2 linked regions of the Oryctolagus cuniculus genome follow. The main gene of each other region encodes a partner of the protein of the gene in region 2 in a complex. Links are inferred from orthologs where the notes say so. Each region holds a gene or a part of one and is shown on either strand. Other genes may lie near its edges.

What was found. The genes of interacting proteins can lie anywhere in the genome.
Region 1: the proteins of TSEN34 (region 2) and TSEN15 are in contact, whole or in part, in a crystal structure (PDB 6Z9U), measured with the Homo sapiens proteins. The link is inferred for Oryctolagus cuniculus from reciprocal best matches to the Homo sapiens genes TSEN34 and TSEN15. Residues at the interface, in NP_001070914.1 of Homo sapiens: Pro251, Leu252, Arg253, Phe254, His255, Ala256, His257, Tyr258, Pro265, Glu266, Asp267, Thr268, Ile269, Pro270, Leu271, Gln272, Leu274, Ser283, Val284, Arg285, Lys286, Thr287, Leu289, Leu290, Cys291, Ser292, Gln294, Val300, Tyr301, Thr302; in NP_443197.1 of Homo sapiens: Leu70, Lys74, Trp76, Thr108, Pro109, Ile110, Thr111, Ala112, Ser113, Leu114, Ser115, His116, Asn117, Ile119, Arg120, Leu123, Leu141, Ile143, Val151, Tyr152, Tyr153, Lys154, Leu155, Thr156, Asp157, Gly158, Phe159, Met160, Leu161, Pro162.

What each region holds. Positions count from the first base shown.
Region 1 is NC_091444.1:1,815,127-1,822,293, forward strand, and holds the start of TSEN15 (tRNA-splicing endonuclease subunit Sen15), read left to right. Parts: upstream 1-2,695; 5' UTR 2,696-2,775; coding exon 2,776-2,850; intron 2,851-3,320; exon of another isoform or gene 3,321-4,134; intron 4,135-4,909; coding exon 4,910-4,991; intron 4,992-5,276; coding exon 5,277-5,412; intron 5,413-7,167. UniProt on the Homo sapiens protein: Non-catalytic subunit of the tRNA-splicing endonuclease complex, a complex responsible for identification and cleavage of the splice sites in pre-tRNA. It cleaves pre-tRNA at the 5' and 3' splice sites to release the intron.
Region 2 is NC_091449.1:4,515,359-4,522,448, reverse strand, and holds TSEN34 (tRNA-splicing endonuclease subunit Sen34), read left to right. Parts: upstream 1-1,551; coding exon 1,552-1,794; intron 1,795-1,870; coding exon 1,871-2,096; intron 2,097-2,171; coding exon 2,172-2,429; intron 2,430-3,695; coding exon 3,696-3,883; downstream 3,884-7,090. UniProt on the Homo sapiens protein: Constitutes one of the two catalytic subunit of the tRNA-splicing endonuclease complex, a complex responsible for identification and cleavage of the splice sites in pre-tRNA. It cleaves pre-tRNA at the 5'- and 3'-splice sites to release the intron.

The DNA.
Region 1 (7,167 bases), on a different chromosome or scaffold from region 2:
CTAAAGTGCACTCAGAGGCAGCATGTGACGTTCAGTTAAGTACTTGGGTCCCCGCCGCCCGTGTGGGAGAACTGGAGCTCCTGGCTGCAGCCTGGTCTGTCCCTGGATGTTGTGGGCATTTAGACAGGGAACCAGCTGACGGAAGAGCTTTCTGTTGCTCTGCCTTTCAAATAAATAAAACTTTTTAAAAAAGCACAGAAAAGTAAGAAAGAATGGACGGACATCTTCGGTGTATTCAAGCTTCTATCTTCCAACAGTCTGACTACACTGTGCACTCCTTTATTTTAGTTGGTATTCATTTCGCATTTAGAATTAGCGAATGTCTGTCTTTCACCAAGTTTAGGGAGATTTTTGCCATTGTTTCTTCAGGTTTATTCCCCCCTGCCCCGTTCTTTCTCCTCCTGTTTTCCATTTGGATGTATGCTAGGTTGTCTGACATTGTACCTTAATGATGCTCTGCTCATTTTTTGAAAGCAGTTTTTGTTGTGCATGTTGGAAATTTCCTGTTTCTCTGCCTTCAAGTTCACTTGATTTTTCCTCAAACCGTGAGATGTTTTTCTTCTGAAATCATAATTTTAAGTTCCAGAATTTCCATTTGACTTTTTTTTTTTTTTTTTGAGAGGCAGAGTGGAGAGTGAGAGAGAGACAGAGGGAAACGTCTTCCTTTTGCCATTGGTTCACCCTCCAATGGCCACCACAGTTGGCGTGCTGCGGCTGGCACGCCGTGCTAATCCAAAGGCAGGAGCCAGGTGCTTCTCCTGGTCTCCCATGGGGTGCAGAGCCCAAGCACTTGGGCCATCCTCCACTGTACTCCCTGGCCGCAGCAGAGAGCTGGCCTGAAAGGGGGGCAACCAGGACAGAATCCGGCGCCCCGACTGGGACTAGAACCCGGTGTGCCAGCGCCGCTAGGCGGAGGATTAGCCTAGTGAGCCGCGGCGCCGGCCTCCATTTGGCTTTTAACATGTTTTTCTTCCTCTCTCCTGAGATGCTCTGGTTGTCTCCTGATGTTTTCATCTGCTCAACACATATTTTCTTACTTCATTGAGAATAGTTATAAGTCACTTTAAAAGCCTTATGTCAGTTTCAACATCAAATTCATCCTAAGGTCTAGCTGTAGCAAAGTGATCAGTTTTCTTGATTTTTTCACATCAGAGAACTTGGACCATACCCCGGTTTTTTGAATTGAGGGAAGTCTGGGTTCAACCACTTTTCTCTGACAAGCATTCTTTGCTTCCTGTTAGTGGGTCATTTCCCAGGCTCCTTGGGGGCAGCTCTGGTCTCAGCTCAGATCTTCATCTGCAGCCATGCTGTGATTCAGGGCGGGAGGTGTGGGGCTGTCCAGTGGGGCTCTCCACCCTCCTCGCTGGGGACCACCTGGTCCCTTCAGCGTCCCTTTCCTGTGTTTCGCACAGGGCACTCAAGGTCCATCAGACGTGTGAGCTGCGGGACATGGGCTCCTGCTCCCTCCAGCGTGCGTTTCTTGTGACTGCGATGGGTGGTGCAGGGTCCATCAGAGGTGCGCGCTCCTGGGTGTGGGACACTTGTTCCCTGTGACTTTCCGTGGGAGGCTCAGGGGTGGCCCTGCTGCTCCCCCCGGCGTCCGTGTCCCGTGATTCCATGTGGGAGGCTCAGGGGTGGCCCTGCTGCTCCCCCCGGCGTCCGTGTCCCGTGACTCTCCGTGGGAGGCTCAGGGGTGGCCCTGCTGCTCCCCCCGGCGTCCGTGTCCCGTGACTCTCCGTGGGAGGCTCAGGGGTGGCCCTGCTGCTCCCCCCGGCGTCCGTGTCCCGTGACTCTCCGTGGGAGGCTCAGGGGTGGCCCTGCTGCTCCCCCCGGCGTCCGTGTCCCGTGACTCCGCGTGGGGAGGCTCAGGGGTGGCCCTGCTGCTCCCCCCGGCGTCCGTGTCCCGTGACTCTCCGTGGGGAGGCTCAGGGGTGGCCCTGCTGCTCCCCCCGGCGTCCGTGTCCCGTGACTCTCCGTGGGGAGGCTCAGGGGTGGCCCTGCTGCTCCCCCCGGCGTCCGTGTCCCGTGACTCTCCGTGGGGAGGCTCAGGGGTGGCCCTGCTGCTCCCCCCGGCGTCCGTGTCCCGTGACTCTCCGTGGGAGGCCCGGGGTTGGCACTCCTTCCCCCAGCGTGTATCCTGCTCCACTTTCCCACGCGCACTCCGGCGGCTCTGGCCCGCGAGCTGGGGCTCTCCTGGGCAGGCGTGCGCCCCCCGTCGTCCCGCTCGCTTCCCGCACCCCTAGGCGGTGGCCCGGCGCACTATGCCCGGGAGTTCTGGCGGCTTCCTGCTGGGCCTCGTGCCCAGGGCCTGCCGAGTCCGGAAGGAGACGTCCCGTCCGGCCTGGGTCCGGCCTGGGCCTCTGGGTTCCGAGCCGCCCGCCCCGCGGCCCCTTCCTCCCAGGCTCCCGCGCTGCACCCCGCAGCGGCGCCGGGCCGGCGACCGCCCTCTCCTCAGGCCGCTTCCCCGCTCCTGGGGACGCGGCCCCTCATCCGCTCCCCGCATCCCCGGACGCGGGCTCTGAGCGCCGCGGCGGCCGCCTCACGCGGGACTCGGCCCGGCTCTGAGGAAACGCGGCGACGCCGGGAGGCGTCTGCGACTTCCGGTCCGGGCGGGCTGCGGGGGCAGCGGAACCCAGGCGCGAGGCCCGTGCTCCCGGCCGGACGCCGATCCGCGTGCACTGGAGGCGGAGCCCGGCGCGCGGCCCCAGCCGCGGGCCGCACGTGCGCAGCCGGGAGGCGGAGCCAGGCGCGCGGGTCGGTGCAGCGCGGCGCGCCATGGCGGAGCGCGGCGGCGACGGCGGCGCTCGCCCGTGGGCCCCCGAGGACGCCTGGATCGGCAGCCACCCCAAGGTGAGGGGCCGGGCGCGGGCTCCTCTCACGCGTGGGCGGAGACGCGGCCGGGAGCCGTGCGGGGTGGCGCGTGGGCGGGGACGCGGCCGGTGAGCCGTGCGGGGTGTCGCGTGGGCGGGGACGCGGCCGGGAGCCATGCGGGGTGTCGCGTGGGCGGGGACGCGGCCGGTGAGCCGTGCGGGGTGTCGCGTGGGCGGGGACGCGGCCGGGAGCCATGCGGGGTGTCGCGTGGGCGGGGACGCGGCCGGGGAGCCGTGCGGGGTGTCGCGTGGGCGGGGACGCGGCCGGGGAGCCGTGCGGGGTGTCGCGTGGGCGGGGACGCGGCCGGGGAGCCGTGCGGGTGGCGATGGGCCCGCGAGGTCGGGAGGGCCGGTTGCCCCGTGTGCCGAGTCCCGCCCCCGCCCCCCGCCCTCGCCCTCGCCCCCTCCCCCGCCCTCGCCCCCTCCCCCTCTCCCCCGCACCCAGGGCGGCGCGGTGTTGGGGGTCTCCCCCTGAGAAACGGGGTGACCACGGCGCGCACCGCGTGGGGCTCCTCCGGCTTAGGTCGGTGGCTGTTGGTCAGGCGTCTGCCGCGGGGAGTGGCCGTGCTGGTCACTCAGCTCGCTCTTTTACGTTTCTTAAGACTGGGGCCGGCGCTGTGGCGCAGCCGGTTAAAGCCCTGGCCTCCCATATGGGCGCCGGTTCGAGTCCCGGCTGCTCTCTGCTGTGGCCTGGGAAAGCAGTGGAGGATGGCCCAGGGGCTTGGGCCCTGCACCCGCGTGGGAGACCGGGAAGAAGCTCCTGGCTTCAGATGGGCACAGCTCTGGCTGTTGCAGCCATTGGAGGAGTGAACCAGCGGATGGAAGACCCCTCTCTCTGTAACTCTGTCTTTAGAGACTTTACCGTTTATTTGGAAGAGTTAGAGAGAGGGAGAGGGAGACCCGACCCTCCACCGTTCACTCCCCGGATGAGTGCAGTGGCTGGGGCTGCAGGATGCCGGCCACTTGGCCGGTGGTCAGTGGCCTGGTGGCCCGTGGTCGTGGCTTCCTGCGGTGTGCACAGAGCCAGCCCCAGGCTCAGCCTCCAGTGCAGGCCGTGATAGACTGAGCGTGGAGGCCGAGTTCCGCAGAGAACTGAGGGACTTAGCGTTTCCTGCCCAGCACTTTTCTCACTGAGTCCGCTCAGTCGGTTGTGAAGAGGCCCGGCCGGGTGCAGTGCGGGTCCGTGTGCAGACCTGCGCTCTGTAGACCTGGACAGCAAGCTTCGGAGCGGACGCACTCTGCAGTCGGGGAGAAATAAACACCAGTGGGTATCTGATTTCCGGCTCTGCCTTTGTGTGGCTCGGTTTGCCAGTGACTTAGGTCCGTCCGTGGAGCGTGGTGGCAGGGCGGCCCCCGCAGGCACCACTCCCCTGCCGTCCGGCTCACAGCCCCTCGGCGCCCCGTCGCGCGGAGGATCCGGACCTCTGGCGTGGCCCCGCCTGCGGTTGCATGGCAGCCCTGATCTGCACCTGTGCGCTGACACCCGTCTTCCCAGCCGCCCTCGCGGAGCTCGCCCTGCGCGAGCCCTGCTCGCCCGGGGACGCGCGGCCTCGGCGTCCCCTCGGAGACGCGTTCCCCCTGCAGCTGGTTTGTCCGCTTCGGTGACACCTCCCGGGCGTGGGGAGGAGGGGGCGTGGCGTTCCGGCAGTGTCTCCCCATGCAGGTGACAGGCCCCCACGAGACCCCGGGACAGCCCACGGCTGCTGCTGCGGGTCTCGGACGCGTGTGGCTCACCCTCACCTTGTCGACTGCTCGCTGTGGCTCTGCGTTGCTTGTTCTAAGGGCAGGGCCTTGGGCCCGTTCTGTCACTCACCGGCCACACCCCGAGGGGAGCTCCGTGTGTGGTCTCATCCCATCGCGGTCACAGGTCGTTTTTGCCCAGTTTGTGTGTTCTGACAGCTGCAGACCCTCCGGAGGCAGATGCCATCCTGCGTCGCCCTCTACCTTCTGTGCAGATAGCACACGTGCAGTGACACGCGCCCACTGGAGGGGCACCCGAGCCTCCCTTCCGCGTCTGACGCCCCCATTTTGATTTCCAGTATTTGGAGATGATGGAGTTGGATGCGGGAGATGCCACGCAAGTGTACGCAGCGTTCTTGGTTTTCCTGGACCTCATGGAGAGTAAGCCGCCCACCTCTGTGTGGACTGGGGCCGTGCTGGGGTCGGGCGCTGGGTTGGGATCTCCGCGCTGACGTTACGGTGAGCAGTCGCTCATGCATTTGCTGCTAGTTTTGTCAAGCAGTTTTGCAGCTTCCTTATCTTTTTACGTTGGGAATTATTGAGTAACAGAAACGCTAGACGAGTAGAGAAGAGGCCGGGGTAAGGGTGACATTGCCACATAGAAGTTCGGAGCCTTTACTTTGGCTTTTGATAAGCGGTCTTGCCCGTTCGACGCGGCTCTTCCAGGTAAAAGTTGGCATGAAGTGAACTGCGTGGGACTGCCAGAGCTGCAGCTCATCTGCCTGGTCGGCACGGAGATAGAAGGGGAGGGCTTGCAGACCATTGTGCCCACGCCCGTCACAGCCTCCCTCAGCCACAACAGGTGAGCGCGGGTTTTGGTCTTGGCTAACCGACAGTTCAGAAGCGAAGCAGCCGGGATTCAAACCCGTGGACAAGAGATGCTGGTGTTGTAGGCTTCGACTTAACCTGCCACACTCTAACATAGATCCCACATTCTTTTTTTATATTATTAACAGTAAATGTTTGTTGGTTGTGTTTTGAGTTTGTGAATCTTTCATTGTCTTATTTATTTGTTTACTTGATCGGCCGTGAGAAGAGACTGGTCTTCCGTCTGCTGGTTCACCCCCAGATGAAGTAGCCAGGGCTGGGGCGGGTGGCAGCCAGGAGCTGGGACTCCCTCTGGGTCTCCCGTGTTTGCGGCCGGGGCCCGACCACTGGGACCATCGTCTGCACATTAGCAGGGAGCTGCATTGCAAGTGGAGCAGCCAGGACTCATGGTTGCCAGTGTTGCAGGCAGCGGCCTGATCTGGCCCAATCTTCTACTGTCTTTAAGGTAGCTTTCAATCAGTGGCGGTACTTAAGTTGAATGTAATCAGATATCTGTCTTCTCGTGGAGTCAGTGTCTTTGTGTCTGGCTTAAGAAATGGTACCTGTCTAGAGACCTGGAAGTGTTCCCTGTATTTCACTAGAGTGTTAAGGTTTGTTCGTGTCTGATGGTGTGGGAGGTGCTCCGGGGGCCACGTTTCTCCCCCATTGGCAGCGCCCCTCTGCTCCCTGTTTGCAGCACGCCGCCTCTGCCCTGACTTGCTCCGCTGGTCAGTTCCTCTGTCCTCCCAGGGGTCGTTGTATCTGATGAGTCAGCGCTGGCAAAAATGAAGAGGTGCTGCTTCCAGAGTTAGGCCCCAGACGGTGGCTTCTCCCCGGCACTTTGCACGTGGAGGGAAGCCGGGTGACTGGGCTGCCGTCCTGAGGCGCAGCTGCAGCGGAGGGGAGAAGGGAGTCCCCGCGGACAAGATTCTCGAGAGACGGGGCGGCCTGCGTTCAGGGGGCGAGTTGAAGAGCCATGGGGGCAGGGAGAGGGGTGCAGGGGGAGAGGTGGGAGCGGGCATACTGCGGAGATGTAGGGGAGAGGGCAGAGCCCTTGAAGTGCCTCTGAGCGCCTCTGTGCTGGCTCGGGGGGCTGCATGCCTGGTGCGGCAGGAGGAGCACTGCTGTGTCCTCTGGGCTGACCAGGGGCTCAGATGATCAGTGCCTGATACGTCAGACCCCCCCCCGCCCCCGCCCCGTCAGCGCTGCCGCCTTGTGCGTGCTCCGCAGTGTTGGGTGAGCTGGTGTCTTCTTGGCTCTGTCCTCGTGGCTCTGACCAGGGGCTCAGATAGATGATCAGTGCGTGATCCGTCAGACCCCCCCACGCCCCCGCCCCGTCAGCGCTGCCGCCTTGTGCGTGCTCCGCAGTGTTGGGTGAGCTGATTCTCGGGTTTCTGGGCAGTGCTGGTGTGTGGTCCGTCGTGAGAAGTGCTCGTTGCTGTCAGGCTGCCCATGCTGCTTCGCACAGACCTGCATCCTCCGAGAAGCGCAGCCGATTGGGTCGGCCTCGGTCGGTATGATTGCTGCACTTCCTGGGTTTTACGAGCCCTCCTGCAGCTGAGAGACTTTGTTCCTCAAAATGCCTGTAACAAGGTCCTGTTACACTGTGTGGAGAAGGAGCTACTATTCACAATTAATTTGAATTCAATCCTAAAACATAAAATCAATGAAGCGAAAGCAGTAGTCTGTTTTTTCCAAAATCATTCCGTAGGTCTCAGAGTACCAATTTGTGTCCACTAATTTTAGTATC
Region 2 (7,090 bases):
CACCTGAGCCGCCCTCCGGGTAGGAAGCGGCCGAGCGGTCCCAGCCCGCAGCCTGCGCGGCTCGGGCCACGCCTCCCCCGCCCAGCACGCCCCCGCGCCGCCTGCGCTTTCGAGGGGCCCGCCGGGCTGCGCTGCGTGGAGCCGGAGGCACCGCCACCGCCGGGGACAGGGCTAGGCAGACACGCGCAGCACGAGTCCGCGGGGCACCCGGGTCCGCATCTGCCGAGCGCGGCCCGCGGGCCGCGAGTACGTGAGGGGGCGGGGCTTCGGGCTCCGCGGGAGGAGGGGACGGGCCCGGGAAGGAGGCGGGGTCTGGAGCTCGGCGCTCGGAAGGAGGCGGAGCCTCGCTTCGGGTTCCCTCGGTCCGCGTCGGAGGTTTGAGCTCACCGCTTCGAGGTGGGGCCACAAGCTTCAGCTTACTTCGGCGGCAGCCGAGTGCGCCAATCGCTGTTCGGATGTGGGCGGGGTCACGAGCTTCGGCTTACTTCGGAGGTAGCCGAGTGCGCTAATCGGGGTTCGGATGTTGGCGGGGTCCCCAGCTCGGCCGGATGTGGGCGGGGCCACGAGCTTCGGCTCCCTTCGGAGGTAGTCGGGTGCAAGTGCCCCGCGTTTGCGACTGAGCGTCCAACCTCGTTTTCACGGGGGGCGGGGAGAAAGCGACCCCCGAGGGGGCGGCGCTCTGAGGGCCGCGTGCGCCGGGGGCAGGAACGGGGTAGAACCGGGGAGCCGGAGGGCTGCGGCTGGGCGGGGCCGAGGGGTCCGGGGGCGGGGCGGTCCCAGCCTCCCGCCTCGCTGAGGTGGCGGAATGACGAGTCTGACGCGGGGGGTCGCCATGGGTGGGCGGAGGAAGCCGCGCGAGGCGCGCTGCGTAGGGGGCGGCTCCACCTCGGTCGGGACTTGGTGTTTACCAGGAGACCAGCTGCTTTTACCGGAGGACGGCGGGACACTCTGAGGGGAAGCAAGGACGCGGACGGACAGCTCGCAAGTGAGCTGACCCCGCCCGCGCGAGGGACGGCGGGTGCGCGGGGGCGGGGCCTCTGGCTTAGGGGTTCGGTCGTGGGGCGGGCACTCCCCGACCCGGCAGCCTGGCGGGGGGCGGGCCCAGGCTGCAGGATTGACAGGTCCCGAGAACTCCCGAACGCTGAGCGCCCTGCGCTCGGGAGGGGGCGGGGCTTCGAGCACGGAGAGCCGAACCCCGGCGGCTCCAGGGGAGTGGCCGAGCTCGGGCTTCCGGGAGGGGGCGTGGCCTCGGCGGCGCTCTGACGGGCAGGAGGCGGTGCCAAAGGTGGCCGCCCCGGAGGGGGCGTGGCGCCGCGCCTGCGTCGGTTTCTGTCTGAGGCGCGAAGGCACGGCGGCGGGTCCTGCGGTGGCGGCGCCGAGCGAGGCGCCGACCGCCGGGTGCGGAGGCTGTGCCGCGGCCAGGGCGAGGTCCCGCCCCTCCGAGGCCCGCGGGCGGCTCCGGGGCCGGGGCGGGGCTCCGGCGCGACCCCCGGGCGGCCGGCGGCGCCGCGCGGTTTGAGTGACCGCCTCGCCTTCGGCTCCCGCAGGAGGATGCTGGTGGTGGAGGTGGCGAACGGGCGCTCCCTGGTGTGGGGGGCCGAGGCGGTGCAGGCGCTGCGCGAGCGCCTGGGCGTGGGGGGCCGCACGGTGGGCGCCCTGCCCCGCGGGCCCCGCCAGAACTCGCGCCTGGGCCTCCCGCTGCTGCTGATGCCCGAAGAGGCGCGGCTGCTGGCCGAGATCGGCGCCGTGACCCTGGTCAGCGCCCCGCGCCCGGATCCGCGCCAGCACGGCCTGGTAAGGGGTCTGAGCCCGGGACCTCGGGGTCGGGCTGCACGCTGGGCGCGGGGCTGCAGCTGAGTCCGCCCCGCAGGCTCTGGCATCCTTCAAGCGCCAACAAGAGCAGAGCTTCCAGGAGCAGAGCGCCTTGGCCGTGGAGGCCCGGGAGGCCCGGCGTCAGGAGCTGCTGGAGAAGATCGCGGAGGGCCAGGCCGCCAAGAAGCAGAAGCTGGAGCAGGAGGCGGGGGCCGGCGGGGCGCGGGAGGCGGCCGCAGGGCAGGCCCAGGAGGGCCAGGCTTCCGGGGAGCAGGAGGAGGCAGGTGAGCGCGGGCCTGACCCCGGGGAGTGCAGCGTGGGGGCCGGCGACCGAGCCTAACCTCACCCCCCTGCCCCAGCCCCCTCGTCTTCCCAGCCAGGGCCTTCCGGTGGGGCGGCCCCCTTGCCCAGGTCCGCTCTGCTCGTCCAGCTGGCCACCGCCAGGCCGCGACCGGTCAAGGCCAGGCCGCTGGACTGGCGCGTGCAGTCCGAGGACTGGCCGCACGCCGGCCGGCCTGCCCACGAGCTGCGCTACAGCATCTACAGGGACCTGTGGGAGCGCGGCTTCTTCCTCAGCGCCGCGGGCAAGTTCGGCGGCGACTTCCTGGTCTACCCAGGTGAGTCTGGGCTGGGCCCCGGCCGCTGCACCGGGTCCCGGCGTAGTCGGCCTTTTTCCTTTTTTTTTTTTTTTTTGGTTTCTTCTAAAGACAGAGCAATAGAGGGGTCATGCATCCATTGGTTCATTCCCCGCATGGCTGCAAGTGCCAGGGCTGGGCCGGGCCAGGAACTCCATGGGGTACCCGGGCCTCCCACGTGGGTGGCAGGGATCCAGGGACTGGGCCATCTTCCACTGCCTCCCCAGGCGCATCAGCAGGGAGCTGGGTCCGAACAGAGTAGCCGGGACTGCAACCGGGACGCTGGGATTTCTGTTTGCCTCACATTTTTCCGACTTTTGAAACTCTTGGAAGGACAGGAACCACTGGGGAGCCCCCAAGTTCACTTAGGAGGTGGTTTGGTAGCTTTCATGAGATGTTTCCTGTGACCCCCAAGGCTCACTTGGAAATCTGTAGACAGCTGCACAGGAGTGCCCCCTGCAGGATCATCCGCAGCATTTAGAGATCGGGAGACACAGGGCCAGCAACGCGGCCTCGTGGGTAAAGCCACCGCCTGTGGTGCCGGCCTCCCATGTGGGTGCTGGTTCGAGTCCCGGCTGCTCCACTTCCGATCCAGCTCCCTGCTAATGCACCTGGGAAAGCAGGGGAAGATGGCCAAGTGCTTGAGCCCCTGCACCCACGTGGGAGACCTGGAGGAAGCTCCTAGGTTCTGGCTTTGGCCTGGCCCAGCCACTTGGGGAGTGAACCAGAGGATGAAACACCTCTCTGTCTCTCCCTCTCTGTAAATCTTTCAAATAAATGACTATATCTTTAGAAAAGTTGGAAAACAGCCAAAGAGATTATTACTAAGTTAGCAGTCAGAAAACAAAGCAATAGCTGTCAGAGGTTGATGTAGGCACCGGCACCGGGAGCCGAGCGGCAGAGACGCGCCCACCAGGGGCTCTGCCGACAGTGCCAGCGCGGTGCCGTCCCGGGGCTGCCCGAAGCCCCGCCTCCAAATACCGGAGCCGGAGCAGGCTCCGCCGCACCCCATCGGTCCACATTAGCCCCGGGGCTTTGGGGTTCTGCGTGAGTTTGGGGGGCCACGTCCTGGTCAGACCACGGCAGCGTCACCGGCGGTTCCCGGGTGGGGCTGGGAGGCCGTCCACTCCACATTTGGTTGTTTGCGTCGGATAGCGACGAGGAAGGATAAGAGCGATCGCCCCCCTGTGCAAGTACGGCAGCCGGGGCCGTGTCGCTGCCCGGCGCCTACCTGCCTCTCTCCCTCAGGCGACCCGCTCCGTTTCCACGCGCACTACATCGCCCAGTGCTGGGCCCCCGACGACCCCATCCCCCTGCAGGACCTGGTCTCTGCCGGCCGCCTGGGCACCAGCGTGAGGAAGACCGTGCTGCTCTGCTCCCCACAGCCCGGCGGCAAGGTGGTCTACACCTCCCTGCAGTGGGCCGGCCTGCAGTGAGCGCCCTGGCCCGTCGGACTCTGCATCCTTCCGGCTCCCCGCCGCGAGCTCTCAGTGGCTGTGCTGGTGTCGTTGTGACCGGTTCCCAAACTGTGGGCTTCTGGGACCCGGCGTGTTCATCTGTTCCTGCAGGGCCTCGGTCCCAGGAGGCCTCAATAAACTTGTGGACTCACCCTGAGTTTGTGGCTGCAGTCCTGGGAGGTGACATGTGGGTGCTCCCATCCGCGGGGACAGCTGTGGAGACGGCGTGGGGAGGCCGGGCGCCCTGCCCCGGTCCCCTTGCGCCGCAGAGGTTGTACAGAGAACACTGTGCAGCCGCTGCGAGTTCAGGGCTCAGAATTTGGGGGCGTCAGTGGGGGCTTCTAGAATGTTTCCGTGTCCTGGGTGGTGCTTCAGAATTGTTTTGATGTTGTTTACTTACACGTGTATTTAAATGTTTATCTCCTTTCTATCTGAGAGAGACATCTCCCATCCACTGGTTCACTCCCCAGACGCCCACAACGGCCAAGGCCAGGCCAGGCCAAAGCCAGGAGCAGGCAACTCCGTCTGGGTCTCCCATTGGAGTGGCAGGGACCTGTGCAGCTGGGCCGTCACCTGCTGCCTCCCAGGGAGCTGGGGTCAGAAGTGTGGCCAGGACTCACACCCAGTGCTCCAGCAGGGGCCGCGGCATTCTGTCACACCACACACTCTATATTTATACTTCAGGTTTATTAAACATGTTCTGGTCTACAATTTTTAGACATGTTATAGTGTACAATTTTGATAAAAACTAAAACAAGTATGTGAGGTATTTCAAAGCTTTGTGGGGGGCTGGTGCTGTGGCACAGTGGGTTAAAGCCCTGGCCTGAAGCACCGGCATCCCATATGGGTGCCGGTTCGAGACCCGGCTGCTCCACTTCTGATCCAGCTCTCTGCTGTGGCCTGGGAAAGCAGTAGAAGATGGCCCAAGTGCTTGGGCCCTGCACCCACGTGGGAGACCCGGAAGAAGCTCCTGACTCCTGGCTTCGGATCGGCACAGCTCCGGCCGTTGTGGCCATCTGGGGAGTGAACCAACAGATGGAGACCTCTTTCTCTCTCTCTCTCTACCTCTCTCTGTAACTCTCTTTCAAATAAATAAAATCTTTAAAAAAAGCTTAGTGGAAGAATGGAATTGAAAGCTAAGTTCATTTTGGTACAAAGTAATTCTGAAATCCATGCTTGATTTATCCTAATGGACACTTTCTGAAGACGACTCGTTTACCATAAAGGCTCACGGGTTTTCGGTCCACAGTTAATGGGTGTTTGGTAGAATGTAGGGTAGGACTGTGCAACCGCCACCACAGTCCAGCTTTATTATAATTATTTTAATGTATTTGAAAGGCACAGAGAGAAGAGAGGTCCTCCATCCGCTGGTTCACTCCCCAGATGGCCACAAGGGCTGGGACTGGGCCAGGCTGCAGCCAGGAGCCTGGAGCTTCCTCCAGGTCTCCCTCATGGGCGCAGGGGCCCAGCACTGGGGTCATCTTCTGCCGCTTTCCCAGGTGGGTTAGCAGGGAGCTGGACAGGAAGTGGAGCGGCCGGGACTTGAACTGGTGCCCATATGGTATGCCGGCATCACAGGTGGCGGCTTAACCCGCTGTGCCACGGCGCCCGCCCCACGGTCAACCTCGGCCCGTTTCTGCCCTGCCTGCTTGCTGCCGCCCCTGTCCCCATGCCCGGCCGGCACGGAGCCGCCTGCTTTCTCTCTGGGGAGAGTCTGCCTGATGCAGGAGTCCCAGGGTGCCCTGTACTGCACTGGGGGCTTATCCGGTGCCCAGCTGGTTCCAGCGAGCTGTCCCGGTGAAGGACGAGGCCTTGTCCACGCAGGGTCCCTAGTTCCAGGAACGGAGGTTCCGGCGCCTCAGTGCTCAGGTGCCAGGTCGCTGAGCGAGCGGGTCCTTTAAGCTAGGACTGACTCAGGCTGAGGGGGAGAATTTGGAACTCTTCTTTTTCCAGACCACTCACTAAGCATGTTTTAAACAATGCAAGGCGACTTTCAAAAAGTTTGTGGAAAAACGGGAATTAAAAGGTGAATTTTATTTTCTTACCAAAAATGAGGTCACACCGGCCCTTGCTCTGCCTTTTGAAGAAACAAGCTTTTTTTTTTTTTTAAATAAACATTTTTTAGAAGTGACAGTGACAGCTATCAAGTTTCCCCAGATCCGTGGTAACAGAGCACAGAGCAGGTCAGGCAGAGGAGCAAACCTGCCAGGGCCCTGGTCTCCCCCTCACTGAGCTCTGCCCCTCGTGCAGGTGACGCCAGGGCTGAAGGAAACTCAGTACAGTGGCGGTGACGGCCGGCAGCGAGCCCTCCGCAGGCTCCCGGTTAGTCCCGAGCTGGACCTGCCACGCCGGCGCCCCAGCTGCCCGCGGATGCCCGGGCCCTGCCACCCTCGTGGGAGACCCGACGGAGCTCCCGGCTCGCGCTGCAGCCTGCACGGACCGGTGCCTGCAGAGTGAGCCAGTGGATGGAAGACCTCTCTCTCGCTGGCCCCTTCAAATAAATAAAGTCTATTAAAATCAGTTTTGTAAATGCACACCGCGCGTTTAGCCTGGAGCTAAGCATCTTGCCTGTGTAACGGGAGCATTGGACGAGCAGGATTACTCCGGAGAGGACGGGCTGGGATATTCCAGGGCCCGTTTCAGGCCAAGAGAGATGGAGAAACCGTCGGCTCCAGGCGGTGCCCGGGGGTCGGGGCGCATAGACCGGCGCCTGTTCTGGAGCCCTCCCATCCCGGGGAGGCCCCGGCGCCGCCCTCGACATCGGCCGCAGGGCCCAGGCAGGGAGCCCTCACCCACCGCGCTCTCCAAGGCGCCGTGCAGGCCCGCACCCTCCTGGGCATCCCGGGAGGCAGCAGGCCACGGCGCGGGCTCCGCTGCTCACTGGGGGCCAGGAGGGCGCCCTGGGCTCCCGCAGAGGGGGTGGGCTCGGATGGTGCCCTGGGATCCCGCAGAGGGGACACAGACGGCGCCCTGGGCTCCCACGGAGAGACCCGAACGACGCTCTGAGCTCCCACGGAAGGGGGACCCGGAGGGTGCCCTGGGCTCCCACGGGGGGACCCGGACGGCGCCCCGGGCTCCCACGGGGGGGACACGGTGGCGCCCCGGGCTCCCACGGCGGTGACACGGTGGCGCCCTGGGCTCCCACGGGGGGACCCGGACGGCGCCCCGGGCTCCCACGGCGGTGAC